Diceros bicornis minor: one gene and its partners. The protein of the gene in region 3 interacts with the protein of the main gene of each other region in a pairwise test. Links are inferred from orthologs where the notes say so. Each region holds a gene or a part of one and is shown on either strand. Other genes may lie near its edges.

Region 1 (7,703 bases), on a different chromosome or scaffold from region 3:
TAAGAGTAAGATAAGCCAGTTAAAAAGAAAAAGAAATTCCTTTATAAAACTCAAATGTATAATGCTTACCAGACAGCCAGTACAGCGCAGGGCATTTTCCAGTTTCTGCCTTTGGTGGTAAATAGATGGCAAATTTCATTTTGCAGTTCAGCTCAACGCTGTAATTTTAACAGTCACAACAAAAAAATCAATGCCCCTGATTAGTCAAGACAGAAACATAAAATAAGAGATTCAATGTCCAAAATAAGGGATTCCACCAACACTTAAGAAATATACCTTGGCCCTTAAAGAAAGAATGGGGCCAATTTAGCATAGAGATCTATTAATCAACCTGAGTTTATGCTTTGCATGGCACATAGTCATTTTGGACAGAATAAATTAAAAGAATAAATGTAATATCCTCAGTGTAGCACTAATATTATTAAAAGAAAAATTGTTTATGTTTCTAAAGAGATGTATGAAATAATAAATCGGTTTTTATAAAAAATGAATTCTAAAGATCTTAAATTCATGTTTGCTCATGGGTACCAAAATGTACACATTCTTAACTCGTTCTTTATCATTAATATTTTATTACAATAACTAAAATCACAACTAGATAAGATAATTTTGATAAAACCACAGGTATTTTTCCATGTAAGCAGTAATTCATGCACCAATGATCTTTCATGGGCTTATTTAAAGACTCAAATAGATAGAAGCAGAACAAGATATATCTAAAACCGTATCTTCTTAGTAGTTACCTGTCATGTTCAAAAACTTTCTGTAATCCTCCAAAGCACTTGTTGCTGGAAATCTGTTTCAATGCCATTCTTCTCCTATTAGTGAAGATTAATCTCATTAATTTCTAGAGAATTAGTTCCTTAAAAACTTGAAACAAAACTTTTTTCAGATAAATTATCCAAACATACAACTGTTTTCCACCTAGAATATTTTTTCACATGCTAATTTTCTCTGATAAACAATATTAAGAAACTAACTTCCATACACACACTTACACTTGTTACTCACTTTAGAAAACTGTAGTACTTTGGTATGTCATTACTAATTTATTAACAAGCTTTTTTTGTGTGTGTGGACTGCCCCAAATTCTTTTTAGAAAGAGGCAGAATAAAATATGTTAGTAACTGATTATTTTGGCTTAGAAGATTAAAAACTGTTAATAGCTTACCTGTAAGCTGTAACAAAGGAGTCAAGGAATTGATAGGACTGATTATGGTTGATTTTAAAAAGGGAGGAAAATGATGTAATAATAATGATTTTAATAATAACATAACATTTATTGAACATCTACAGTGTGATAGGCAACCTTCTACATGCTAAACCAGATCACATTACTCATTCTATGAGTTTTTCAGAGAAAGTGATGTACAACTTTTAGACCAACATTTCTTCTTTTAAAACAAACCAACAAGTAAAACACAGGCTGTTTTAAGTGAATTACAAGTGCAGATTGTCATTGGGAAATTCTCAAGTTTTATAATTCTCTTTCCTCAAACAAATCTTTTAAATTTCCATAAATAATTTTAAACTTACATGTTAAAATATCACACACTATTATGTTTTAATAATAAATACAAAAAAATTGGAAAGCCATTTTTATCATAAACATCTGTTGATTCTGATTTGTATCTCTCAAGAAAGGATTCCCTTCCCCTTCTTATTAAAATCAGTAAGCTGTACACACCAAATAAAAAAATCCTCAGATACCAGGAATAGGTATTACCACTCTGGCGGTCTTCTCCGTGAAATGTTCTACTGTATGCTCATCAGGTGCAGTGTTAGGGTTACTCTAAAAAGATATATAACAATCATCTTAAAAAGCTAATTTTGGAAATGTCTTTGAAAAATTCTAAATAAGATTAGTTTCAACCTTATGTTTAAGTAATCTCCTCAATAAATCCAAAACTTAGCTTTGCATTTGAAAGCTGGGACTTGAACCAGAAAGTCTGATATCAGAGACTCATCAGCAGACTCTGCTGCTATGCTCTCCTGCCTCCTAGCAGGTCTTTTTAAACATTCTTTTTTTTTTTTTCCTCCCAGACACTCTTAAGATTAACTAATTTTATAGGATTAGGGTATTTCAAATACACATAGAGAAATTACCTTCTATTCACAGGTTTATGCTTCTTATCTATAAAAGATCAATTCTTAAACAACAAATTTCTCACAAGATGTTATTAATTATTGAATATTAATTTCAGCTATTCTTGTTCATGATCCTTTCTTAAATAATGAACTAAATGAAATACATGTATAATTTTAACATATATACAAGACCAAGGAATACAATTATTTACTGAATTATTCTACAAGAATATCCTATTTTCTTAAACCTAGCAGGGACTATGTCTGCTTTCCCAAAACATGGTACACTGAACATATATCCAGTACATAAGAGATACCCAATAATTATTTGTTGAATTAATGAATAATTTATTTTTTTAACTTCTAACTACCGATTACATGAAAGTTTTAAAAATTAGCTTGTCCTTTATCTCTATTGTTCTATACTTTGTTATTCAATTCATCTATATTAGTAAACGAGAACTAGTCAATTTCCTCTGCTCTTTGAATGTTCTTTAATTAAAATCAAATACTTTCCATTTGGTCAAAGAAAAAACAAAGTTAAAATAATGTTTTTTTAAACTGGTAGGATGAACTAAAAAAAAAAAAAAAAAATCAAAGCTTTTTAAGTTTTTTTCTCCCCAACCACCCATTTTAGAAACTACTTTCAATTATAAATCAAGAAACAAGTTAGGCTCAATAAAAAATATGACATAAGCTAAGAACTAGATATACTATGATATATGACATGATATACTAGGTGATTACATTTTTCACTAAAATTTTTCTATGTGAAAAATAACATATTTTAAACCAGGTTATTAGATTTTTACATACAACTTTCAAACTAACACATAATAATGTACACATAAGTAATAATGTACACATAAGACACTGTCCAATTGCTACTTGCTTTTCAGTCTGCACCAAAGGGTAGACGATCCTTAAAAAAAAGACCAAATGCTTCATAAACAGGACATACTTTTTACCATAAAGGTTATATAGACATGTACAGTACACTACACACTCTCAACAGGGACATTTTCTTCTCTCGAGGTGGGTGATGGTCTCCGCTGGCTATGGCAGCTTGGAAAACGCAGCTGATCGAAGTGCACACCCCTTCATCTCAGTCCTTAATCTAATTTCCTGAATACCCATTTTGCCACAAGGCCTAGTTTTTGGTCAAAAACTTTTGCTAGAATAAGATTCCTATGAAGAAAGTCTTTCTTTTTAAAAATTTTAAAAAAGTTTTAAAGTGTAATTTGGAAGTAAGAGATATAGTCAACCGCTGAGAGTGAAGAAAATCAGGAGTGGGTACTAGAAAAGTAGAGAAATATAAAAAGCCTAGACATGCCTGACTAAGAATTGTAGATCAAACCTGGAATGCAGGGAGGAGAAAGGAGGGAAGCGATGAGGACTTAAGGACTACTGGGTTGGCTGGCTAGAAAGGATGAACTGGTGAGAAAATTCAGTTTATGAATGACATTGAAGTGACTGATACACAGTAATAAATAAATAGCAACTTAACATAGTACATACTATAAGTGTCATCTGTCTGATCTTTCATTTAGGTTCTAGAACAGATATGGTGGGAGAAATGGAGTGAAAGAGTAGAGTAGAATAACACTCCACCCGAAAAACCAAAAACAATTTCACTGTGTCAGTGCGAGTTACACAATTTTCCTAGAAAGTCAATAAAATGAACATCAATGTTCTTTAGAAAAGAAAGGTTCTCTTGGTGTACATGCCAAGCCAATCAGGTAAAAACCATTAAAGAGAAAGTTGTCTTTATTCACAAAGTATCCATTCCCCCTCAAGGTCGAAGTGTCGAATCTTACTTTTCTTCCCTTTACTTATTGAAGCTAAATGTCATCCACCTCCAGAAATCTCTGTTCTTCGTATTTTTACCCATTCTTTCCTTCTTCCAATGAGTCTGCAGTTTTCTATCTCTACCTCTGTTTTTGTCCCATTCTCTCAGACTCCTTGGACTTGGATCTATTTCTTCATTTTCAGTGTCCCACTCCACTGGCTCTTAATGACCCACACAGGTCTCCTCAACATCACTGGATCACGGCACTGCTGACCACCACTTTTTCGTTTAAATCCTCCGCTCAGTGGAAACTCAGGATCTGAGTTCTTCTCTTCCACTCTTTCTCTTTCTCCTCCCATCTCCCTTTCCTTTTCTCTTCACATACACTCTTTCCTTAACTCCGTTAGGAGTTAGTCTCAACTACATCTCAACTACATCTTCTGGGTAGAAGAATCAAAACCTGCATCTCCAGATCGTTTTCAAGCATTTGTGCCAGAATTTTACATTTCTTGCTGGACCCTTCTAATAAGATATGCTACCAGCTAATAAAACCCAACACATCTAAAACTAAGTTTCTATCTCCCACCTTCAAACCATTTTTTTCTCTCCTTTTCTTTGCCTCTCTTTACATCCATGCTTATCTTACCCAATCTACGTTTGAAATGTCTTCAAGTTACCCCTTCTTTGAATTCCCATTGCCACCATCCTAATTATACACAAGAAATTAAAACTTAGCCTCCTACTTTGTTTCCTTCTTGTACGTCCCACTAAAATCAATCTTGCATGGAAGCCTAGGACTTTAGTCCTTTTAACTTACTGCTTGATGGATACCTATGTCACATCTTCAGACCTAAAATGGCCTACATGAAATTGTTAATCATTTTAACTTATTTTTTATTTTATTTATAAAAATTGTCACTAAAAAACACGTAACATAAAATTTAGTCTTAACCATTTTTAGGTGCATAGTTCAGTAGTGTCAAGTATATTCCGTCAATTTTAAAAACATTGTTAGCTTGCCCACATTAACTAGCAGATGAGAAATGCCTGACCACCTCCAAGCTGTTCCTACAGGTGTAGAGAGCTAATCCCACTCAGCTGTCAGGCTAGCAGCTGAACACCAATAAGTCACTGAAATGGAAGACGATGTAATTCATTATACTGTACAGTATAATTTTGTCAAGTTTGATGCCATTAAAACTTCATAAAACCGAAATTGTGAAGAACTGACAACAAGATAAATAAGGATGAATGAAACTCCACATACACTTCACTCACATTTTAACTGTGTACTAAGCATAGTCTCTTTTCCTTCATAAAAATTCACATGGCTTGCCCATATTAATTTTTAATCCACCTTCGGGAAAAAACAGAGCACCCACGAACTCCAAACACCTTAACTTGGCTCTCAAAATTGTCTTCACTGGTCCCACACTATTTTTCTGGTCTTTCCATTATTTTAACGTAGTCAAACTCAATTACGTATAACTCTAGTATAGCCTGGATGTTTCTACGGGGTGGCTTTAGTCAACGCTATGGTACAACGGGTTTAGAGCAGGTTCTGGAGCCAGACCCTTCAGGTTCAAATTCTGGCTTCACCACATACTACATAACTTCGGGCAACCTATGTAATCTTTCTGTGCCTCATTTCCCCGACTGTAAAATGGGGATACGATACGATCGATGTGATAGGCTTGCTCCCGGCACTAAAGCAGTTAATTTACGCACTGCTGAGAACACTGCTGGCTATGACGCGCACACAAATCTCAGCTATTATTATTCCCGCAACTTCACACACCACCTCCCCGAGGACCCCAGCGGAAACGGTCCCCTGCCCCGGTCAGGGCGTTTCCGACGCGAGCAGACTCCAAGGAGCCGGCGAGCGCGCCAGGAGGTGCGCTTCCCCGGGCCCGCGTCCTGACGCAGGCGCCCGTGGAGCTGCCACCGCTCGGGCCTGTCCCGCCAGTAAACCGGGACACACCTCCTTCACGCGGTGGGCGTCAAGGGCGAGAAGACCCTATGTAAGATGGAAAGAACTAGATAAACGCAGCGGGCGCTGCATAAATGCGCAGCTTCTCCTCGGAGGCCGCAGGCCCGAGCGTCCGGGTTACACATTCGTGGAGGCTCAGTGTGGAAACGGGGTGTGGGAAGCGCCTGGCCTCGGCGCCCCGGCCCTCGGCCTGCTGCCCCGGCTCCGTCATGTGCGGCGCCCCGGGGCCGCAGTCTCCGCGCTGCCGCCTGCGGGACTCGCCGCCGGCCTCACGTCCCCCTCGACCGGCCCCCGCCGTGTCGCCCGTGCGGCCCCAAACCCAGGGGACCGAGGACACCCGGGCATCCGCCCGGGCCAGTCTTACCTCCGGCGGCCGCGGCGGAAGGAGAAGCAGTCAAAATGGAAAGGGGGGGCCTCAACATGGCCGCCCCTGCCGCCGCTCGGCCCCGCCCCCGCTAGCGCCCGCCCACCCTCGACCCCGCTCTCCTTCGGGCCCGCCCACTCGCGGGGGGCCTAACTCCGGAGTCCATTCTCCTCGGCCCGGCTCTTCCACGGTCCGGCTCCCGAAGGCTCCGCCCCCACGGTCCCGCCCCTCCCTCACCGCTCACTTCTCCGCAGCCCCCACGTGGGCGGCCCCACCCCCCACCCCCCCCCACCCCCCCCCCCCCGGCCTCTGGCGCGGGCACCCAGGTCAAGGCCCGCCAGCGCGCTGGCCCGCCCTCGCCCGGAGGCCGCAGGAAAAGGCCGAGGCTTGAATAAGCCTGAGGTCTGCCCTACTTAATTCGTGGAAAGGGTTTCCAAGTTGCTTTTTGAAGTTATGTAGAAACCATAATATCAAGTCTTCCCCATCCCCGAAATCTTGCCAGTTCACCTACTTGGTAGCTGGAGTTAAACAAGGGTCATTTTAAAATCTCCAGTGCCTGGCACATAGTAAGAGCTCCACCAATGTTCTCTTTTCTCCCCTCTCTCGATATAAATTAGTTGAATTAATAGTTGCTGGTTGATGACTTACAGGAAATCTCTTGATTTTTTGCCCTCATTTAAATGAAGTGATTGTGAGTGTACTTTGCCTGTTGAGAAAACTGAACTTGATTACAAAAAACCTTAAAATTTTTTTTTTAACCAACAGCTATACTGACAGATTGTAAAGGACATAATCTAAAAGGGCTAGTTTCGTGGGCATGCAACCTGTGCAGAACAGGGTCTCCATCTCAGAGGAGGCTGCACTGGGTTTAATTTTCCCCTTGGTTTAATTATTTCCTGTGCTACATTGTTAATAATTCTTGAACAAGGGGCTGCATATTTTCATTTTGCACTGGGCCCTGCAAATTATGTGGCTGATCCTGCTGAAAGGACTGGTAGGTGAAATAACCTCTATGGGAACTGATATTATAAATACAGATGCTGGAATCTGTCCTGTGGCCCAGGCCCATTTTGCCATAATGACCTGTGGACTGAACTAACCTGTGGACTGAACCTGTGGACCTGTGGCTGGGTTGGGACTCAGCCTGAAGATAATGTTTATCTAATCAAAATAATGTTTTTATTCTAAGAAAGCACTGAAGTGAAAAATTCTTTTTACTTTCTACTATTTTTAAATATACATTACTGACAAGGGAGTTTTCTTCGAACTGGGTTTCACGACTAAAATAGAATACTCAAGGTTGCAAGTTATTTAGAACTGATAGGAAAGATTTGAAGAAAGTTAAAGGGTGTTTATTTAATAAATTGATTTGCTGCGGGGTGCGGACTAGCCTAAGAACTGTGAGCATGAGGTCTTTTACTAAAGGATTTTTGTGTTAATACAGTATGATAATAACCAGAACTAAAATTTCT
Region 2 (6,908 bases), on a different chromosome or scaffold from region 3:
GATTCCAGTAGTCAGCCAACTTTGCAAACCATGGAGTTAAAAACAAAAACAAAAACAAACAAACCAAGCTTCTTTGCTTTGGCCTGAGTGATTTCAGCCGACTGGTTGGCCTGGTTTTCGTGGCAGGTCTGATTAAGGTCACAGTTCTTAGCAGCTGGGTGACCTTGGATGCGTCTTTAACCTCCAGGACCCTCCCCTGTAAAATCAAGATGCTGTGAAGATTGGACGAGCTAAAGTGCTGGGCACGGGGTAGAGGCAGCTGGAAGACATCAGCTACATTGAGTGTCTTGCATGACTACGAGATGGGCAAATAATTCTCACTTAATATGCAGCCTGTAGGACCGACCTCATCTTTCAGGGCAGGGGGTAAATAATAAGAGGTCCGAGGAGAGACGGGGAGCTTCTCGCGTCTTCCCAGTTCTGCTGATGACCCAAGAGGTCCCGCCGCTCCTCCCTGGAGGCTCTGCAGGACGTCAGCCCCACGCCAGGCGAGGCTCGGCTGGGATCACTAACTGCTCCCAGGGTGAGCTCACCAGGCCTCTGGGGTGCGCGTGGCTAATGTTAGGGGGGCAGCATTGAAACCAAACACTGGCGCCCCCCGGTGCAGGAGAGCGATAAGGAGAGATGGGAGGGATGTGGCACCAATGAAGACCCAGGTCCCAGTTCGTCCTGAGAATAGCTGAGGGACCCCAGGCTGTCTAAGGCCTTAATGTCCCCTTCATCTGCCCTCTCCCCTGCCCTGGTGGTTCTGGTTCCATCCTTGATGGCATCAATGATAACAAATGACACGTGAGCCAGTAAAGCAACATGGTTAAAGCAGATGTTTTGGAGGTGACAGACTGGGTTTGAATCTTGGTGGCACCTCTTCCTAGCTCTGTGACCTTGGGCAAATAGCTTAACCTCTCTGAGCCCCTGTACAGTGGGGATAATGGCAATACCTACTCATGGGGCTGTGTGGGGGGGTGAAATGAGATAATGTGTATGATATGGTTAGCCCAGGCTTGGCAGAGTGATGCTCACCGAGGGTGAAGTGTGGGTCTCCTATCCTGAGGGGACTTGTGGCCAGCACTTGACACCTGAAGAAGGCTCACTCACCTCCACCTGGATCTCACAATCCTGCTGGGAGGCAGCCAGTGGTATTATTTTATTATTCCCATTTTGGAGATGACAAAACTGAGGCTTAGAGAGGCCAAGCTACAAGTTACTCTGTATCCCAAGATACAGAGTAAATGGCCCAGCCAGGACCTTCAGACTCCAAATTCAGTGCTCTCTTTACCACTCTGCTATCTTCTAGATGCAAAGCGTCTTTCAGTTAACAAAGAGGATTTACATCCCTTCTCTCTCCCTGGATACTCAAGAAACCCCAATGAAGAGGCAGTGCGAGCCCATTTTATAGAGGAGGAAATGGAGGCTTGGTTCTTGGAGGACTCCCGGCCCATACGAAAAACAAACTCTCACAAGCCGCTTGGGGCTTAAGCCGGAATCCACAGGCCTGTCTGCTCACGGCTGGTCTTTGTTAGGAGGGGACCAGCTGGTGGCCTTCCCTCCCCAGGGTGTTGGCCAGTCTTCACTCCTCTGCCCCCGCCTCCCCCCACCCCGCCCAGCCCTTGTTCCTTATCACTGCTCAAGCTGCTGGGTTCAGAACAGACTGTGACCTTGGTTCAACCTTCCATGGGGTGGAGGGGCAGAGGAGAAGGGAGGCACTGGCAAAGCAGAAAGAGGCATTCAGGAAAAGTGACAAGTGTGGCCATGGATTTCCCAACCCTTGTCGTTTTTCCTCCCAGTGGGAAAGTGCCCGTTTGTATTCCACTGGCCAGCAACCACAGGACAGTGTGTGGGGGAACCACTCAGATCTCCCGGCAACTGTGGCCGATGCCTAGAAGCCCCCGTCAGAGCTGCTTGTCCACCTAGATGCCACTTCCCCACCCTGGGAGAAAATGATTCAACACAGCATCTTGCCTTGTGACCTCCTAGTTTGTGAGGAGCAAGTCTGGGTGGGCATTCGGGGCTTTGAATGAATTCCAAGGCCAAGTCCAGGGCTGGACATGCCTGGTCCTTAGCGAGGTTGGTGGACAGTGCTGTGCAGTGGATCAAGGCACAAGTGTCAGCAGGCCAGATATTCCTGTTGGCCCTCCAGTGGCATGACGCCAGCCACTCCACCTGCCCCCAGCAGGTACTTACCACCAACAGCGCTAAGAGCCACACAGGATCACAGACACCGGAGACACAGGTACTGGGGCTGCCTCAGCCAGGGAACCACCTGGGTTTGGTAACAGTTCCAAAAGGTGACACACCCATTCCTATAACCCCTGGTTTTTGGCTCAAGCCCAGACTTGCCTTGTATTGTAAAACGCTAAAGCCAAATTCACCGGAAAGGCAGGCAGTTAGCATGCTGACGTGCGCTCGCTATGTGTCACGTACTGTGCCAAGCCCCTCACAGCCACATCTCATGAAATTCTTACAGCAGACTGAGGAGGGGGGTACTGTCATCACCCCTTTGCACAGATGAAGACACTGAGGCTCCAAGGGGTCATCTGATTTCCCCAGATCACACAGCCCTCGAATGAAGAAGCTAGATCTGAGCGGAGCTCTGACTGACACCAAAACCTGTACTCTCCCAGTTGCGCCACCCTGAGCACTCTGGCCTCCTGTCTATCAGTTATGAAGAGAATTAAAACCATCACCCTGTGGTAATGGGCTTAGGTGAGGTTATAGCGTGCATAAATGCAGATTCATCTGAGGATTTAGAAGACAGAGATCAAAAAGAATGGAGGGCTGGATCTGGCACTCCCTCCACTTGGCCTTCTATCCTGTTCCCAAACCCAGGGTGCCAGGAGGCACCCCCCAAACACTTCTCAGATGCAGGGACATAGGCCCGGTGCCTAGGCACAAAGAGCTCAGCTCCCCTGACCGCCCACCTGGTGCTCCGAGGCTGCCCTCCTTCCCTTGCACCTCCTCCCGGCACAGCTCGACAGCAGGTGAAACAGAAGAGAAATGGTCTTACTTCTCAGCTGCGCCGTCGGGCAGGGAACTCGGGAGCAGTGTTGCTGGCTCCTGGCTCCACCGGGAAGTCCCAGACTAGCCAGGAGGGCCGCCTCCAAAGGGCGGTTCTTAAACCCCTGGGGATGGCAGGCAGCTCAAATGTGCCAGCGAGTGAGGCAGCTTTGCATTCCTGTTTATTCTCGTATCAATAAAAAGGAACTGTTACTATAGTAACGGGTATTTCACTTGGTACAGGGCCACTTCCACGACGCGGAACACCGTGTCCAAGCCACATGCTTGAGAGGCACAAATAAATACCTATTTTGTCAGATTGTTGAGGAATAAGAAACACGCCAAGCTTTGTTCTGAGCAAGGCGGCTCAAATAGAGGCATTTCCCTTGTTTCTAATAGAGGGTCAGTGAGAGTGCATTCCAGCACATCCTGGCGGAGGGGGAGCCGGGCTTCCTGCTGCAGCGCCGAGTTCTTCAGGAGAGAACAGCTCTGGGGGTCAAGGGAGGGGAAATCGCATTGGGTCAGTTCTTGGTCGTCCACGAATGTGTCGAAAACTCCATCCACATTATTTACTTGATACCTTGAACTTCATCTGAACTTCAGGGAGGAGCCAACAGGATGTGGCACAGGAGAGAGCGTGGGGGAGCTGAAGCTGACCCGCTCTGGGCCGGAGCACGCCTGTGTCAGCCCGGCTCGGGCACCAACCCCTTTGGCAGCCCCCGATGCCCCTGAGCCTTGGTTTCTGTGTTTGTCAAATGTGGAGAAAAACAGGGTGGTTGGGAGATAACATAGGTGACATGACATTAGTGAAAGCATGCAGTCAATGCTCAGCAAATAGGACTTTTCCTGCAGAGAGAACCGGACGCAGCGTGATCTGAGGGCAGGGCCCCAGCATGTAGCACTGAGCCTGGCAGAATCTGCCTTCCATAAATCGTGGCTCAGTGAGCGAATGTGGATGTAAAAATAAAGAGTGTGTGTAGGTGCTGAAGGCCGACCTGGGTGCTTGCAGATAAGGAGGCATTCTCTGAGTTTCAGAATCAGCGTTCACTTGAAAATTTGGAAGTGTTTTCCAGCTTTTGTCATTATCCTTAGTCTCCCAGTGAGGAAGCTGGCATCTACCAGTTAAACATGGCCCTCGTTCCAACTTCGCTTTCTCATGAAGGGTCTTGGCTGGCTGGAAGGCGATGAGGCCCATGGCATACATCGAACGTGGAGGGGGGCGTTAAAAATGCGTTTCTTGTCCTCTTTGGCTTCTATTATTCATTCAACCAACATTTATTGAGTACCTACTGTGTTCCTGGCATTGTTCCAGGGCTGGAGCTACAGTGTGAATGAGACACAACCCTGTGCTCAGGTAACCTACACTCAAGGCAGGGGGACAGACAAAAAATGAGACAAACAAGAAAACATGAAGCTACAACGAATGCTATGATGAAATTAAGACGGGGTGAGGTGAAAGGAGGGACTGGCAGCTCAGGAAGGGTGGACACCGAGGAGGTGAAGTTATAGGGAGGTCTGAATGGTGAGAAGGAGTCAGCAAGGTGAAGACTGTTCCCATAGGAGAGGATTCCAGGGAGAGGGACAGGCCCCCGGTGGGGGAATGAGCTTGGCCTGATGGAAGAAGGCCCGGGGGGCTGGAGTGTTGGGGGTGAGGGGACGGTGGGAGACAGGGCAGAAGAGGGGGCGGGGGGCAGGTCTTGCATGTCCTGGGAGCTTTGGCCAAGCCGGCCATTCTGCAGCCACTTACACTTAGAGGGTCACGAATTCTCAGGTATAGAACAATTTTTTGGAAACAACACGTGGTCTTTTTCGTTTCTTCTTCCTAACTTCTGCTTCTCTTGAGGTACTTTGCGTGGTAGCCTCCTCCAGCTTCCCATCCTGCTGTGGCTTAACTTCACGAAATTCTGACATGGAAGACTACAACTAAATGCGGTCTTGTCAAACCACTCTTCGCTGCCCCTGGTCCCCAGCCATGTGTTGTCCTGCTGCACAAATGACTATTTTGGGCATTTCCTGGGGCCCACAGTGGCTTGCCTGAACCAGTCCCAGTGCCCTCTGACAGCTGCAGGAATAAGAGGGATCCTGGGGCAGGAGGACTGCTGACAGCTTGTGCTCACCACCTGGAGAGACAGAATCCCGTAATCCAGCTCACTCCGGAGGAGCAGACTCTGAGAGCCCTCGTGCCAGCAATGGCCTCCATTCCCACTTTGCGTTCCCTTTACTGGAAGACTGATGGCAGCCCCGGAGCAGCCAAGCGCCAACGAGTGTTGGGCAGGAATCCCCCGAGGTTGGGGGCCATTTTCCCCAGGCAGTTGGGACTCACTGTACTTCTTCCACTGTAGCTCTTCTCACAGTCCAACTCGGGTACAAACCCATCAGGCTGACCCACCAGACTGCCAGCCTGAGGGCAGGGACCTCTCCTGTCCTTCTTAGTGTTCCTGTCCCAGTACCATGGTGCTCAGTAACTACTGTTGACTTGCAGACACCAGAAACACTGATATCCTGAGCTTGTTATAGCACCATCTTGCTGTGTGTGTGTGTGTGTGTGCATGTGAGTGCATACGTGTGTGTGTAACTGTGTGTGAGATCAGCGATCAATAGCCACCATTTCCCAAGCCACAGCCATCAGTGAGAGATTAGGCTACATCCCATGATGGGACGCAGTCAATAGCGTGTCTATTTATTGACCTGAAAAGATATCCACCACATGTCTGGTGAAAAATAAAACAGCAAAATCACATGTAGTATGACTCCCCCCCCTTTTTTCCCCAAGATAAAAAAGTTAGTATAGTATATAGTATATGTGTAGTACATACATAGAAACTAATCTGGATGCATATACATTAAACTGTCAAAAGAATTCAGTTCTACATCAATCTATCTCAGATGTCACTATTAGATATCATTTAGAATGCGTGTTAAACTGGAATTACTGGGCCACGCTCCTGGACTACTGTATTAGAACCTATGAGGGAGGGGCCTAGGAATCTGGATTTTTAACATGTCCCTGGGGGGATTTGTTTATATTCGGGAGTTTGAGAACCACTATTCCACAGCATAAAATTACAGGCCCTTCTCCTTTGTCACTACGTTTTTGTAGTGTTTGTGGCTTAAAGCAAACCCAAGCATATATTGCTTTTGCTATCAGAAAAAAGCAATAAAAATGAAAAATATGAGAAAGAGCAATCTTTTCCAACCAACTACAGTTATGATTCACCTGTGGTTCAGGCATGTCCGTTTTGAGTATTGGAAAATAGAGGTCCTCTGAGCAGATGAACCTTTTAGGAGTTTACTCCAGGTAAGGGCCGAGTCCAGCCCCCGTTGCTGCCTCCTGCCTTGGTCTGTGTGGCCTTCCCTGGAGGCCTTCTCATTCGCCCGAAAGGAAGGACTCTGGAATGCCAGGGGCCTGGGGATCAGAATCCTTGCTCAGCCGCACTGAGGATTGCAGGGAGATCCCAGAGGCTGAGCACACCTCTCCTACACTCATCTCCCGTCCCTCTGAAGTCTGTTTTCTTGGGGACTAAAGGAGCCAAAAGGAAGGGTGACAGTGAAGACCAGGAGAGGCTGTCATGACTGGGAGCTGGGGAATTTTCCTGTATCTATAGTGGGCTGGGGCTGCAGCTTGCATAAAAAAACTTCAAAAACATCTTTCCTTTCATTTTTGCCTCCCTTTCTCCAAGCCAACAGGAGCCTGGAGTAGCTTATCTGGGCCCACAAACATCAGACAAGAAGTTTCCATGCCAACTCAAAACCTCCTCCTTGGCGCTGTATTCAGTCTAAATCTCCAAGGCCCTTTTTCAAGGCCTCAGTGTGGTTTCTGAGAAGCCACCCACAAAACAGCCCTGGGATTTAACCTCCCCCCCACCCCCAACACGCTCTGCTGGAAGGCCATGGGGGGAGAAGCTGTACTGGCA
Region 3 (7,270 bases):
GCCACAGCATGTCTGCCAATGAGTGGTGTAGTCTGCACCCAGGAACCGAACCTGAGCCACCCAATGGGAGCACACTGAACTTAACCACTAGGCCATGGGGCCAACCTCTTAGCAGAATCTTTTCAAATACCATGTCTACTCAGGCATGGGGAACAAAAGAAAAAATGAACAAATGGGACTACACCAGATTAAAGAGCTTCTGCAAGGGCCAGCCCCGTGGCTTAGCGGTTAAATGCACGCGCTCCGCTACTGGTGGCCCAGGTTCAGATCCCAGGCGTGCACCGATGCACCGCTTCTCCAGCCATGCGGAGGCCACGTCCCACATACAGCAACTAGAAGGATGTGCAGCTATGACATACAACTATCTACTGGGGCTTTGGGGAAAAAAAGGAGGAGGATTGGCAATAGATGTTAGCTCAGAGCTGGTCTTGCTCAGCAAAAAGAGGAGGATTAGCATGGATGTTAGCTCAGGACTGATCTTCCTCACAAAAAAAAAAAAGAGCTTCTGCAAGACAAAGGAAACCAGGAACAAAACAAAAAGACAACCCACCAACTGGGAGAAAATATTTGCAAATCATATATCCAACAAGGTGGTAATCTCCAAAATATATAAAGAACTCGTATAACTCAACAACAAAAAAACAATCAACCCAATCAAAAAATGGGCAGAGGATATAAACAGACATTTTTCCAAAGAAGGTACAGATGGCCAACAGGCACATGAAAAGATGTTCTACATGACTAATCATTAGGGAAATGCAAATCAAAACTACAATGAGATATCACCTCACATCTGTCAGAATGGCTATAATTAACAAGACGAGAAATAATAAGTGTTGGAGAGGAGGTGGAGAAAAGGGAACCCTCATACACTGCTGGTGGCAATGCAAACTGGTGCAGCCACTATGAAAAACAGTATGGAGATTCCTCGAAAAATTAAAAATAGAAATACCATACGATCCAGCTATCCTACTACTAGGTATTTATCCAAAGAACATGAAATCAACAATACAAAGAGATCTATGCACCCCTATATTCATTGCAGCATTATTCACAATAGCCAAGATGTGGAAGCAACCCAAGTGCCTATCAACTAACGAATGGATAAAGAAGATGTGGTGTATACATACAATGGAATAGTACTCAGCCATAGAAAAGAAAAAATCATCCCATTTGCAACATCATGGATGGAGCTTGAGGGTATTACGTTAAGTGAAATAAGCCAGACAGAGAAAGACAAACACCACATGATTTCACTCATATGTGGAAGATAAACACATGCACAAAGAGAACAGATTAGTGGTTACCAGAGGGAAAGGGGTTTGAGGGTGGGTGAAAGGGGTAGAGGGGCACATATATATGGTGATGGATAAAAATTGACTCTTGGTGGTGAGCATGATGCAGTCTATACAGAAACTGATAAATAATAATGTACACCTGAAATTTCGCAATGTTATAAACAGTTATGACCTCAATAAAATAGTAATAATAATAAAACATATATCCACACAAAAACTTGTACACAAATGTTTTAGTAGCATTATTTATAATAGCCAAAACATGAAAACAACTCAGATGAAATGGGAAACAATGCAAATCAGCTGATGAATAGATAAACAAAATATGACTTATCCATACAATAAAATATTATCCAACTCTAAAAAGGAATGAAGTACTGACAGACTACAACAGGGATGAAACTTGAAACCGTTATGCTAAGAAAGAAGCCAGTCACAAAAGACCACATGTTATATAATTTCATTTATATGAAATGTCCAAACAAGAAAACCAATAGAGACAGAAAGTAGATTAGTGGTTGCTCAGTGCTGGTGTAAATGAAGGACTGCAGGCAGTGATAGCTAAAGAGCTCAGGCTTTCTTTTTGAGATGATGTAAATGTTCTAAAATTGACTATGGTGATTGTTGCATATATACGCAAATATACCAAAACCATTGAATTACACACTTTAAACAGGTGAATTGTACGGTGTGTGAATTATGTGTCAGTAAAAATATTACAAAAGTAGTTAGTATAACACATGGCAGTTCTGAGCTAAGAAGAAAGCAGGGGCTTTGAAGTCCAACAGTTTGTGTTAATCTAAGTCCTCCAAAAAGCAGGTACCAGATGGGATTAAATTTGCAAGAATTTTATTAGGGGAAACACCTGTGTGAGTTAAAATAGGGAGACAGATAGGAAAGGCTGAGAGAGCTGTCTTGTCATGATGCAAGTCTCACACCAAGTGAAGGAGGAGAGGAGGGAAGGTTTGGAAGAAGCATCCTAGACTGCCATGCCCCTTAAGAAAGGTTTGGCAAAGCTGCCAGGGTTTGGCAAGGCTCCAGCCAAAATTCGCCATCAGAGTAGTTTTGTGTCAACCAGAAATGGATCTGCCTTAGTATCTTTGCTACACTTTGTCATCCGATGGGAGATGTCCATGGGAAGCATGTCCTCCATGCAAATATATCGATGGATTTCAGACTGCAGCTGAAACCTCTGGTCAGTCACGCTCCCTGTAGTTGGATATCTACCACCACATCCTCATGGCCATCACGCACACTAAGGTTCAAATCCCAGTTCAATGACTTACTAACTATGTGACCTTGCACAAGCTCCTCTCTCTGAGTCATAATTTCCTTCTCTGTAAGAGGGGGATAACAGTAGTGCCTACCGCATAGGGTTGATATGAGGATAAGACAATGTGTATAAACTGCCTAGCACACAGTAAGCACTCAACAAGTAGTAGCTACTACTAGCATTGTATTTACTACTACGACTATTTCTTCCTAGATTTTACGAACTTCCATTAAAAACAGTGGTTATCATTGTCTATATATAATGAGTATTCTGTTTACTTAACATCATATTGTAAATCTTTTTCCACGTTATCATTTGCTCTCACTAAATATTTTAAAGGCTGCATTATATGCTATAGAGTGTACATATCCTAGTTTACTTAACCATTCTCCTAATCATTAGGCCTTTTCAAAAATTTTTTTGCTATTTTAAAAAATTTAGTGGTGGACATTTTTATATAGAAAAAATTTTCCCCTGTGTTTGAGATACTTCCTCAGGGAAAACTAGATTAAAGAGTGTGAATATTTTTTGTTGTTGTTGTTGGCATATTACTCCTTTACTAGAAATTGTAAAAATATGGAACGCTTCACAAATTTGTGTGTCATCCTTGCACAGGGGCCATGCTAATCTTCTCTGTATGGTTCCAATTTTAGTATATGTTTAGTATATGGAACTCTGTATAGTTCCATATTTCAGTATCTCATGCCGAAGCGAGCATGCGAGTGTGAACATTTTTTTGCTAGGAAAGATTGGCCCTGAGCTAGCATCTGTTGCCAGTCTTCCTCTTTTTTTTTCTCCTCCCCAAAGCCCCAGTATGTAGTTGTAAGTCACTGTAGTTCTTCCGTGTGAGCTGCCACCACAGCATGGCTACTGACAGAGGAGTGGTGTGATTCCATGTCTGGGAGCCAAACCCAGGCCACTGAAGCAGAGCTCACTGAAGTTTAACCACTAGGTCATCAGGACTGGCCAAGAGTGTCAACACTTTTAATGCTCCTGATCCATGTTGCCAAATTTTCTCTCCAGAGAGGTGGGGCCAGTTTACATTCCAACCAGCAGCATATGAGAGTACTCACTGCTCCCTTACCCTGCCTTGGGTATCATTTTTATATTTTTAAATATTTGCTAACTGGAAAGTCAAAATGACATCTAATTTATTTGTTCTCTGTTACTCACAAGGATGGACCATTCTCTAAATGTTTTTGTACAGGTAATATTATATACAAAAGTAATTATTTTGTGACTTGTCCTTGCATGGTAAACTATTAAGATCTTAATTTTTTTAATTAATTCATACAATTTGCTTAATAATAATTGCCTGACACTTCCCATTATTTTCCCTTTCGAGGTTTTTTTTTTAATGTATAGGAGTCTATTGTTAGTCAAATCTATTTATGTTTCTTTTGTCATTTCTTCTGTCTCTTTTAAGCTTAGAAAGCCCATCCTCCTATAGAAAGCAAACTTTTCTTTACAGATAGTTCAAAGTGAAACCACAGCCCAGCTGCTCAGATAGTTTAAAAAAATTGTGAATGAGCGGAGCCCAATCTAATGACTCCCTCCTACAAGGCCATCTCAGAAACGAAGTTTTCTTCCTCTTTTTGTGTTCCAGCACCCAGAATATCCGCTATTAACCGTCCAGGAAGGATCCTTCTTGTGCAAAGGTGCTGCCCAGGTCCTCCAGAGCTACAATGGAGGAGGAAGCTGGGGGGGCGCCGGCAATGCACAGGTCTACTGCCTCCAAGAACTTTCACTTTTATCACATGGATCTGTATGACTTTGAAGACAGACTGCATATCTTCCCAGAAGAAACCACTCGGATGAGAAGAGAAGTAGTCCAAGCTGAAATGACCAGTGAGCCAAGAGGGGCAGCGAAAGGTAAGCCTCAAAAAGAACTTGAAGAGGAAGTGGATGAACTTGTCCATTTATATGGACTTGAAGATGATCACGAATTAGGGGATGAGTTTGTTGATGAAAACATGCCCAGAATAGAGGTTTCAGAATATCCTCCTTATGGGATGATGAGGAGAGAACCAGCCGGGGAGCAGAGAGACTGGAGACTTAGTGGAGAGGCAGCTGAGGCAGAGGACCCAGGCTTCGGAAGGTGGGGCTCGGCAGGCCAGTGCCAGGACTTGCGGGAAGCCTATAGGTACACACGTGGCCGTGCCAGTGAGGAGTATGAATGCTACGTCATCCCAGAGGAGGAGGATGAGGAAGAAGCTGCTGACGTCTTCTGCATCACTTGCAAAACTCCAGTAAGAGCTTTGGAGAAGGTTTTTGATGAACACAAAGAGCATGAGGTGACCCCACTCAATAAAGCACTGGAAATCGCCAAGGTAAATAGGTCTCCTTGGTTCTTCTTTCTCTGGATATTGCATTTATATCTCAAATGTGCAGGCAGGGAATAAATCTAAAATGCCTTCTACAAAAGAGAGAGAGAAAAGATGTACCATTAACATCTTCTTGTGATCCTCTGTTGGATAGGATGAAATTCACAAAAATATGTACAAATTGGAAAAGCAGATTATCGAGATGGAAAATTTTGCAAGTCACTTAGAGGAGGTTTTCATCACTGTGGAGGTAAGAGCACACTTGATGAGCCCACCAGACACACGTGGCTTCCATTAGTGGCTGGGTCAGCAGCTGTGTCTGATATGATTTGGAGAACCTGCTTTCTTAGAATGGGTGGCGTCACTACTGCCCCTCTCCCCTCACTCCTTCCCCTGCCCTCCCATGGCACCTTGGGTATATGCCTCAGGGCACCCACCACCTGTCAGCAATCCCTACTCAACTAGAAGCTCTCCGTGGGAGACTGTGTCTTCTGTGTCTATATATCCCCAGTCCTACTACAAGGTAGGACTCTTTCACGCGCCAGCCTTGACAAGGCATTGCAAAACACCTATTCTGTCATTAATAAGTGTGCTTTTCCTCAGCTGTTATCTATTTCTCACAAGATTAGTAAGTTTCTGTGCCTGCCACCAAACATGTCACAGTCCCCTGGGTGGACCTAATAGGTATGTAGTATACCGCTGTGATGCCAGCACTCAACCTGACCCTCCAGATGAGGTATACCGAGACTGAGGACCAGGGGACCGTCTGTCTCCTCTCTCTTCATGTGGATGCTCTAATCCTATTCATGCAGCCTCAGACTGTATCAACAGGAGCACTCCATATGAATTAACTAAGCCCCAGGCCCCTTTCCCGTGAAGCCTCCAATCTGAAAAGGGAGGAGAGCTATTGCACTAATCCCCTATGGAAGGCAGAGAAGGGACAAGCCCTTCCCCTTCCAAGCTTAGGGTAGTGCTAGGAGGGGTCAGTGTGCAACAGCCAGGACAAAACTCCCTACACTCTGTACTGCCAGCTCACTCTCAGATCAAAGTGTCTTCACCTCAGTGAGGACTCTGAGATCTTCCTTTTACACTTAACTCAGGGAAGTTGTCTACCGTCTTTCCCTCTCTTCCACCATTCTAAGCAAATCTTACGCACATAGTAGGCGCTCAGTAAATACTCCCTGAGTGATTGATAAGAGCCCCTTCTTTGGAAAGTCCCTGTTATGGGTGAGGATGACATCAGTCAGAACCCGCAGAGCTCGCCTGGGCTTCCAATCTAAGGAACAGGGACCAGGAATCCATATGCTCTGACTAATATTTCTCATCCATTGTGCTCCAGGATTATGTACGGTCTCAACCCTCCCTCTGTCTTCCTGACTTTTCTCATCTATTAGGCAGCACCATCTGGCCACAACCCTTATTCCCCTTCCCCTTCATCTTTCTCTTAGTTGATATGAGAAAGCAGTTGATATCTCTCAGCAGATATGAGGATCTGCGTGATCCTGGTGTTTGTATAATCCAAGCATTGAGGGGTGGAGGTGAGTGTCATGAGATGTTGAGAGCTCAGGAGGGAAAGATAAGTGGGAATCGCCCAGAGCAAACATCTTCATATTAAGGTCCAAGGTTCCAGTGACAGGCTGACTCATTCATCACTGATAATCTCCCTGGTTGGTTGTCATGGTGATGAAAGGTGGCTAAAAATGGAGTGAGGAGGACGATTGCAAAATGCTGCCAGGAGAGAAAGCAGTGCTTTTTGTTAAGATTATCCCTGAGGTTCTAGCTGGAGACTCCTGGGTCCTAGCTCCCCCAGTGTCCATCACAGCATCCTGGCAAGAGATAAGACTACGTGGAGGGACTAAAATAGCTACAATATAGATACATTTTCATGCCCCAAATGACTCTGTTGTTGACACACCAGATGCACTGAAATGATGACTGAGGGGAACTGTCTTGCAGGAGAATTTTGGAAGACAAGAACAAAACTTTGAGTCACATTACAATGAGATCTTGGAAACACTTGCTCAAAAATATGAAGAAAAAATACAAGCTCTAGGGGAGAAAAAGAAAGAGAAGCTGGAAGCCTTGTATGGACAACTGGTCATCTGTGGAGAAAACCTTGATACCTGTAAAGAACTGATGGAAACAGTAGAGGAGATGTGTCATGAAGAGAAGGTTGATTTCATCAAGGTCAGTAATGAAGTGAAATGAAATATTGAACTGAAATGACAGTTATAGCTGGAGTAGCTTAGGTTGTTCCTTCTTCACCTGGAGGTATTGGAATTGCCTTTTATGGTCAGAAGCCATTTGGTTCGACTCGATATTCACGATGGTGAGGTTGTCACCTCCTCTTTCTGCACAGCTTTGCCATGAGTGGC
Region 4 (7,889 bases), on a different chromosome or scaffold from region 3:
AAATCTGGGTTCTGTCAGGATGGAAGGAGGTGGGCCAGTGAACGAGAGGTGAGCAACTGACAGTGTTGGCCTCAAGTGCCTACTACATATGAGTCTGCACTGTAGTAGGTGCTATGAGGAATGAAAGAACATAAGAGATGGGGCTTTCTATCAAACCTTCTAGAAGTTATATATTCCAATAAATATTCGCTTTTAAGGACCTCATCATAGAAGGATGCACTGTTATCTCACTGATCCTTTGGTTGCTCAGTCAAATACATCCTCAGAAGATGAAGATTTGTCACATGTCACATATGTTAGCAACTGGGTAGAAGACCACTTCTAAAGAGTCATTCCTAAAGTGATGGAGAGATGACATGTTTGGGAATAAGTACTTAGTCAGTTTCCCCAAAGTAACAACTTGGAAAGTTTAACTCTTTCTTAGATGTCTAAGTTTTGGTTGTTTTTTTTGTGTGTGTGAGGGAGATTGACCCTGAGCTAACATCCAGTGTCAATCTTCCTCTTTTTGCTGAGGAAGATTAGACTTGAGCTAACATCTGTGCCCATCTTCCTCTATTTTGTACATGGGACGCCACCACAGCATGGCTTGAGGAGTGGTGTGTAGGTTGGTGCTGGGGATCCGAACCAGCGAACCTTGGGCCGCTGAAGTGGAGCACGCGAACTTAACTACTACGCTGCTGGGCCAGCCCCTAAGTTTTGGTTTTTTTAAAAGCTAAATCAGTCATGTTATAGTCACGTCTCAAAATACTTTGCCCTTAACATGCTTATGAACTAGATGAGAAAATAAGCAGGTGAACTGAGAACAAACAACACAGGACTATCTAGAATGGTGCTAAATTATATATTATAGGCAATATGTTCTGAGAGAGTTTAGAGCAGATGAAGATCAGTGAAGGCAAGCCCGGTAGGAAAGCGTCAGAGAGGCGGGGTCCTAGATGGCCATGAACGATGGCCTGGCTGGGCTTTGGTCTGTGTCAACGTCAAATGAAGATATTCCCCTCCTCTGCTGCGTGAGACCAGGATTCCTCTAACAGAGTTATTTATCCTCTTTTTATTAAATACCTAGTTACTTATTTTCACTAATTTACAGTTCACCTGTTAAGGCCTCATGATTTTTACTTAGTAATCTTGATTAAATGACTTTTTTTGTACAGTGTTTATAGGGTGGGCTTTGCAGCCACACAGATCAAGATTTGAATTCATGGTCCAGTACTTACTGGCTTTGTGGTCTTGTGTAAGTTCCCTACCCTCTCACATTTTGTTTCCTTATTTAATAATAATCTCAGCTAGATAAGGCTGTTGTGAGACTGAAATAAGATGAAATAAGGAGAACACAGAGCACAGTCCCACCCTGAGAGAGTGCTTGATAATGACATCTGCTGTGATGATCATCACATGGATGACAGAGGCAATGGTGATGTTAATATAAACCCATGGAAAGGGATGGATATGAAAGAGCCCCTACTTGGTTCTCACCACTTTGTCACTGTGAACTTTACATGAATGTACACCCACCAAAAGTAAATTACATTTCCCTTGACTTTTTAATAATCACTGCCTTCGAAACAGCAAAGATGGATTCAGGTACTTAGGGAGGTTCTATTCTATTATCTGCGAAGGCATCACCCATGTGACCCAGATTGCTGAGCAGAGACAAGGCAACACCCTACATGAGAAACTGGCAAAAGCACAAGAGATCTTGGAGATGTGCAATTAGTTGACACTGTTTATTGGGGCTTGGAAACCAATCTGAAAGAATTTATGCTTTAAATCAATGGCAGTTGCCAATGAGCCTGTGAGGGAATCCTCGTTAGGACACTCTGGCTTTTACTGCAAGTCATATTGATAATAACCAAAAGAGAAGCCTCCCAGGCAGAAGGTCAATCTAACCCAATCACTTAATGCAGAATTATGGTATCAAGTTTCTACCTCGCTGAATGACCATGGGTTTAGAGGTGTGTGCCATCAAACAAGCTGCTGGGGTTAGACATTTAACAAGTTGTTTCATTCCTAATCGCTGGCATGTGCTTAACTGTTTTCTTAACTCTAATTTATGTTTTTATGTTCCAGTTTGTTTACATAGCCCATAGTTCCCAATTGCCTTTATTTGCTTAAGTGTTTCTTTAATTTTATTTACATTTTTATATATGTTGCTTTGCTTACATAACTCATTGTTTTGGCGTGAGCTAGAAATAACCATAAATCCGTATTGCTAATTAGCCTCATCTTCATGACTGATTAGTCAAGATTATGAGCCTAGAAAGAGGGCAGGGAGGAGGCCGGATAGTGAGTCACAGGATCATTGAATTTAAGAGCTGGAAGGAATTTGGAGATTAAGGCATCTTTCAGCTAGAATTCCGTGGTTTTACATCTTCAACGTTGGAGAATTATGAAAGATTCGCTGCTTGCTCTTGCTCCTTTATGTAAAAATGTATAAGGATTTGGTGACAGCTTTGAAAAACAAGTTAAGAATAAAGAGAAAGCCTAATAAATGATGACTATGAACAACCCATAATGGGGGTTTGAGAGAAGAATCAGAAGCTTGACACACAAATGGGCTACAGAAGAGCAGGGAATATTAATGAACACGAGGGAGCTTCTTCTTTGGAAGTTAGTAAGTGGAGTGGATTGTTTGGAACTCTCTCTCCAGCAGCTGTGCAGTTTGTAAAGATTTTAGCTTGCCTAACTGTAAGGTTAGCTATTAGCTTGGCAGTGGGGAGTATTTAAAAGTACACACAACATATGAAGGAAAGAACCTGGAACCGACTAGCCTGCTTCATTCCAAGAATCCATCTGGCATGTAAAGAACTGCTTGTCCTACATTAAACCCTGCAGAGTGAGAGCCATTTTTCATATCTCATACCCCTATTTTTGGTTTCAGGTAAGACAGCTTACTGAGTTTGGGGAAGGAACACGAAGACTTTTCAGAACCACCTAACCAAAGGACCCATCTGGGGTGAGCTCTCTGAATCTAAAATGGGGAAAACATGTTGAAGCCCTGTTTGGGAAACCAGGTAAAGAGAAAGCGCAAGTGTCCACAAGAGGTGGCAATCTAGACCCTCAAGTAATGTGAGCCTTTAGTCATTTGAGACAGAGTACAATGGAAGAAGAGGGGTTATAGGTATGAAAATCTGTGGCTGGAGTCACTTACATTAAATGACTCGTGGTGATGGGGTAAGTTGATAAGTGAAACCCAGCCTATCCCTAAATAAGCATATGTTTGTAATAAAGAGCTCGTTTTTGCAGCTTTGGTCTATCTGGAGGCAACTAAAAGCAAACGCTGCCAAAGGAGTATTCCCTGGATTACCAGAAATTGCAGAATGTGTTAAGGGTGGTAAACCTTGAATTAGTCCTGGATGTCAGGCCCTTTCTCTTTTCCCACATCCACTTCCCTCTGACACATTTTCATATGCTCCCCTTTCAAGGGAAAGTGTATGGCAGTCAGATTCGCTCAGCGCAGACTTCAAACATGCGGGACCACGGGCTCTTACCTTACCTGGTCACCCCTTGAGGTCCAAGAGCTGGCGCCAACTCGGAGCAGCGCCCTCTCGGTTACTATGGTGATCGCGAGAGGGGCGGGGTCTCCATCCACTGCGTCCCCGCCTCTGCCCAGGATATTTCGAACGCTCCAATTGGGACCGCCCTTTCTTGCCTTGGTCCCGCCCTGTTCGGCTCCAAGCGCGATGCGATTGGTCCGGGACGGGCGGCCGGGTACCCTGTGGGTACCCCCTCCTGACCGGAATAGCGGGAAAGTGTAGCAGGCGCTGTCGGAGGCGTGAAGCTCACGGAGCTGCGGGGAAGCACATGGTTGGCTTTGGAGCGAGTTGCCCCGTGTCCCATACACAACTCCTCGCACCCATGACTGCTAACTCTAGGGAGCAGGAGCTGGGGTGCGGTCACAACGTTTGCGGTCCAGGGCGGCCCATCCTGGGGGGCGAGGACGCGACCAGCCGTCAGGATCCGGTGGCGCGCTCTCCCGCGCTGGGGATCAGAGGCCAGAGGGGGCGGGCCCAAGCCCGGGGGCGGCGCCAGCGGCGGCGGCGGGAGGTGCAAGTGCCAATGAGCACGCGCACCGCCCCCGGGGGCGGGGCCTGGAGAGCGCTCCCCCGCCCTCGCGCTCGCCCCCGCCCCTCCCCCCGGGCGCGGGGGGCCGCAGTGAGTGAGTGGCACTGGCAGCCTGTCAATCCCTCAGCCGAGCGGCCTTCGAGCCTTGTCCGCGGCGGCTGCTGGCAGGGTGCGCGGCTCCGGCAGCGGCGGCGGCGACTTCTCCCGCCCCATCAATCTGCTGTCCGCCCGGCGCGTGGCCCCCGGGGGCCCTCCTTCGGGCTCCGCGCCCCGCCGCGCCGGTCCGCCCGCTCCCAAACTTTCCTCCTCCGTCCCCCTCGCTCCCCTCGGCCCGCCCGCCGGCCTCCTCCTCCGCCGCCGCCCGCCGCCGCCGCTCCCTCCCCCGGGGCCGCGGGGGCTTGGATCCCGCCCGGCCGAGGCGGCGGCGGCGGCCGAGGGAGGGGAGTGCGCGGGCCGGCGCGGGGGGCGGCGGGCGTCCCGGCAACTCGGCCGGCGCTGAGGAGCAAGTTGCGCGGGGCCGCCCGGCGGGGCGCGCGGCGGCGAGGAGGCGGCGCGGCGGCCGCGTGAGGGCAGCGGGCGCCGCTGCCTCCGCCTGCGCCAGCGCCGCGGAGCCCGGCGTTTCCGCCCGCCGCTGCTCCTCAGCCTCGGCGGCGGCGGAAGCCGGAGCCGGGCGCCCGTCCGCACCGCCTCAGCCGCGGGCCCCGCCGGCCAGGCCGCCCCCTCCCCGCGCGGGCGGGGAGCGCGCGGCCGACTCCCCCTCCCCCTCCCCCTCTTTCTTCTCCTCCCTCGTCGCCGCCGCCGCCGCCGCCGCCTCAGCCTTCGCCGCCGCCGCCCGCTCCCGCCCGCGCGCGGCGGGATGGACGATCAATCCAGGATGCTGCAGACTCTGGCCGGGGTGAACCTGGCCGGCCACTCGGTGCAGGGGGGCATGGCCCTGCCGCCTCCCCCGCACGGCCACGAAGGGGCGGACGGCGACGGCAGGAAGCAGGACATCGGCGACATCCTCCACCAGATCATGACCATCACGGACCAGAGCTTGGACGAGGCGCAAGCAAAGTTGGTGTCGTCTCGTTAAGCATCTTTTGTGTGCGTGCGGAGCCGGGCCCGCGGCCGAGTCGGGGCCCGGGGTGGCGCCCGGGCAGGGGCCTCAGCCCCGGGCGGGGAACTTTCTCCGAAAATCTGCCGCCCGCCCGGGCCCCGGGGGCACTTGCCCGCGCCCCTCGACGCGGGCGGGAGTCGGCAAAGTTGCTCCCGGCGCTCGGGACGGACTTGGGCCGGCGCGGATGGGGCGGGTTTCTGTCCCCCGGGGCCGGCCCCCTCGCAGCCCGGCCCCGTCCGCGGATTCAAACCTCCCGCCGGGCCCCCGCGCACGCCGCCCCGGGAGGGCCCTGGGCCGCATTCGAGGAAAGTGCAACTTTCTCCCGCCCGGAGTCGCGGCGCCCGGCTCCGCCCGGCCGCGGGACCACCTCGCCGTGCCGGCGGCCGCCCCAGCCCGGGCGCGGAGCGCGGGGCGGTTCCCCGGCGGGGCCGGGTGCGGGCGGCCAAGTTCTCGGCGAGGGAGGGCCGCCTCGCAAACTTTGCCGAGCTGTCACCGCCCGCTGGCCGCGCTCGGCCGCCGGCCCGCCCGCCCGCGCCGGCTCCCCCTGCGGAGGGCGGGCGCGGGAGCCCCTCCGCCCTGTCCCCTCCCCCGGGGGGCGCCGCCTGCCCCCGGCCCGAGGCTGCCCGCGCGGGTTCGCGCCCCGCGGTCGCCGAGGCTGCTGCCTGCCGGCCAGATGGGTCGCGCGTCGCTCGGGCTGGCGCTCCGGCCGCCGGAGCTCGCCGGCTGTCGCTCACTAGTCAACTTGAGTTTCTGGTGACTTGCCGCGGTTCACGGGAGCCTTCCCCAAGAGTGGGCCGGAATTAAATCTTGGGGCTAACTTAAAGGAAGGCGCCATATTATTCCATAGGTGATGCTAATACCTTTGTGTTTTGCGATTTGTTTTTTAGGAAACATGCCCTGAACTGTCACAGAATGAAACCCGCGCTCTTCAGCGTCCTGTGTGAGATCAAAGAGAAAACAGGTAAGACGCTGCGCCCCGCGGTGGGCCTGGAGCCCCCCGAGGTGGGGTCGGAGCTACTCCTTCGACTCTCCAGTTGAGAGCTGCTGCTTTTGGGCACCGCCATCTTTGATCATTCTCTCCTTCCCACCTCCTGATCTTGAGAAAAAACTGCCATAAATCTGGAGTCGATTTCTCCATTCCGCTCCTGGTGTGAAATGAAGTGTAGATGCGGACGGGGCTGGGTCGCTGTCCCCAGGCGGCCGCCCCTGGCTGCAGGCGGGGAGGGGGCCCGGAGCGCCAGCCGCTCTCTCCCGCTCCTTTCGCCTTGTTTGTATGTCAGTTTTTAAAAGGAGCAACGGGAGACTGGATGCCGGGGACCGAGTCCCCGGGAGTAGCCTCGCCCGAACTTTGTTTTACTTAGACAGCCTTAAGCTTCAGCTCCGCAGATAGAAGAATAGATGCAATTGAACCCGACCCCAGTAGCATGTTTGAATTCGTGTTTTAGTTGGGAAGACTACTTTTAAGAAGCGAGGAAGGGTAATGATGTGTTCAGCCATATACAATGTATGACATCTATTAATACTTTCATTAAATTTTATACTCGAAGTCATTACATTCTAAATATGCTTAATATATATTATAAAGTAGAAAAAGGTCCACAAATGCAGGTTAAACAATTTTTGAAGTGTTCACGGCAGGGGATATATGAAAAGAGAGCTTTTGCAGAAGTGCTGGAATGAAAACTGCAAGTACATATTAGACAAATTTCTGGCAATTCATTTCAATTTAACTTTCTTGTTAGACTTTTTAAAATTGAAGGTATTTTAGTCTTGAGGTGATAGTAGCGACTCAAGTGGAATTAGAGATTTAATATAGATGTTTTAATTCGTATTTGGCAGTATTTGCCGTGTGTTTGGCAAATAAGTGCGTTAAATAAGCGTTACTGTTGATTTATTTATTTATTTTTTTGGTGAGTGTAGGCTATATAGTATTACAAAGTTGCCTTTTTTTTAAAGTTGCCATTTTTTAAGTTAAGGCAAAGAAGAGAAGGTTGAAGTCCAGGGTATAGCAGTGTCCAAGTGATGCCATTTAATAGGTTAAATGTGATTGTGTTTAAGTTGTGTGTACAAATAATAGCACACTGCATATAATCGTTGGTTGGTAGAAGAGTTGCCCTCCTTTTTAAACAGATTTTCCTGTGCAATGCTGTTGTGATCCTAAAAGTAATCAAGAAAAGATGATGAGTTATTGCTCTCCATTAAAAATACGCTAAAACCATAATTAACAGCAAATATTGAGAGCCTTAAAGAGCACCTTTTCTGCTTTTCAGTCGCATAGTATGCAGGGTCTCTTAATGTTGACTAATTCTTTTTAAGATATATTTTACATTTTGAAAACCACAGGCATTTTAAATTACTAACTTTTACTCTTGATTTTTAGCTACCTTTAGAAAGCATTGTGATTTAAAACTGGAGATAATTTTTATCTAAGACATCGAGCATTAAATCTTGAAGATTCTTAGTTTGGAAGCCTAAAAGTGCGTAATTCTCAGTAAATTATGTTGCTTAATGTCCAAGGGTTTTCTTGCTATCAGGGCTCCACTTTAGTTTCTGCTGACAGCTAAGCACTGGAGTATTGACTATGTTGTGAATATTAAGATTGATTCAACTTTATACGGCATTATATTACTAGGGAGAGGGGATTGGTATTCTTCCCCACTCATCCCCTTCTCGTGATTTGTATTTATTTTTTTGCCTTCTTAAAGTTTTGGCCTAGCCAGCTTGA

What was found.
Region 1: the proteins of FSD2 (region 3) and ESD interact in binary tests that used the Homo sapiens proteins (3 or more experiments, as listed by UniProt). The two-hybrid records come from large-scale screens. The link is inferred for Diceros bicornis minor from reciprocal best matches to the Homo sapiens genes FSD2 and ESD.
Region 2: the proteins of FSD2 (region 3) and FAM107A interact in binary tests that used the Homo sapiens proteins (3 or more experiments, as listed by UniProt). The two-hybrid records come from large-scale screens. The link is inferred for Diceros bicornis minor from reciprocal best matches to the Homo sapiens genes FSD2 and FAM107A.
Region 4: the proteins of FSD2 (region 3) and PBX3 interact in a two-hybrid assay, tested with the Homo sapiens proteins (3 studies listed by BioGRID and IntAct). The two-hybrid records come from large-scale screens. The link is inferred for Diceros bicornis minor from reciprocal best matches to the Homo sapiens genes FSD2 and PBX3.

What each region holds. Positions count from the first base shown.
Region 1 is NC_080748.1:30,151,788-30,159,490, reverse strand, and holds the start of ESD (S-formylglutathione hydrolase), read right to left. Parts: upstream 3,014-7,703; 5' UTR 2,952-3,013; intron 1,793-2,951; 5' UTR 1,686-1,792; intron 819-1,685; exon of another isoform or gene 816-818; 5' UTR 812-815; coding exon 744-811; intron 159-743; coding exon 70-158; intron 1-69.
Region 2 is NC_080741.1:58,403,650-58,410,557, forward strand, and holds the start of FAM107A (actin-associated protein FAM107A), read right to left. Parts: upstream 3,018-6,908; 5' UTR 2,919-3,017; intron 1-2,918. UniProt on the Homo sapiens protein: Stress-inducible actin-binding protein that plays a role in synaptic and cognitive functions by modulating actin filamentous (F-actin) dynamics. Mediates polymerization of globular actin to F-actin. Also binds to, stabilizes and bundles F-actin.
Region 3 is NC_080744.1:95,273,958-95,281,227, reverse strand, and holds the start of FSD2 (fibronectin type III and SPRY domain-containing protein 2), read left to right. Parts: upstream 1-4,256; coding exon 4,257-4,901; intron 4,902-5,049; coding exon 5,050-5,145; intron 5,146-6,851; coding exon 6,852-7,082; intron 7,083-7,270.
Region 4 is NC_080767.1:34,017,516-34,025,404, forward strand, and holds the start of PBX3 (pre-B-cell leukemia transcription factor 3), read left to right. Parts: upstream 1-4,869; 5' UTR 4,870-4,921; coding exon 4,922-5,121; intron 5,122-5,843; exon of another isoform or gene 5,844-5,917; intron 5,918-6,051; coding exon 6,052-6,125; intron 6,126-7,889. UniProt on the Homo sapiens protein: Transcriptional activator that binds the sequence 5'-ATCAATCAA-3'.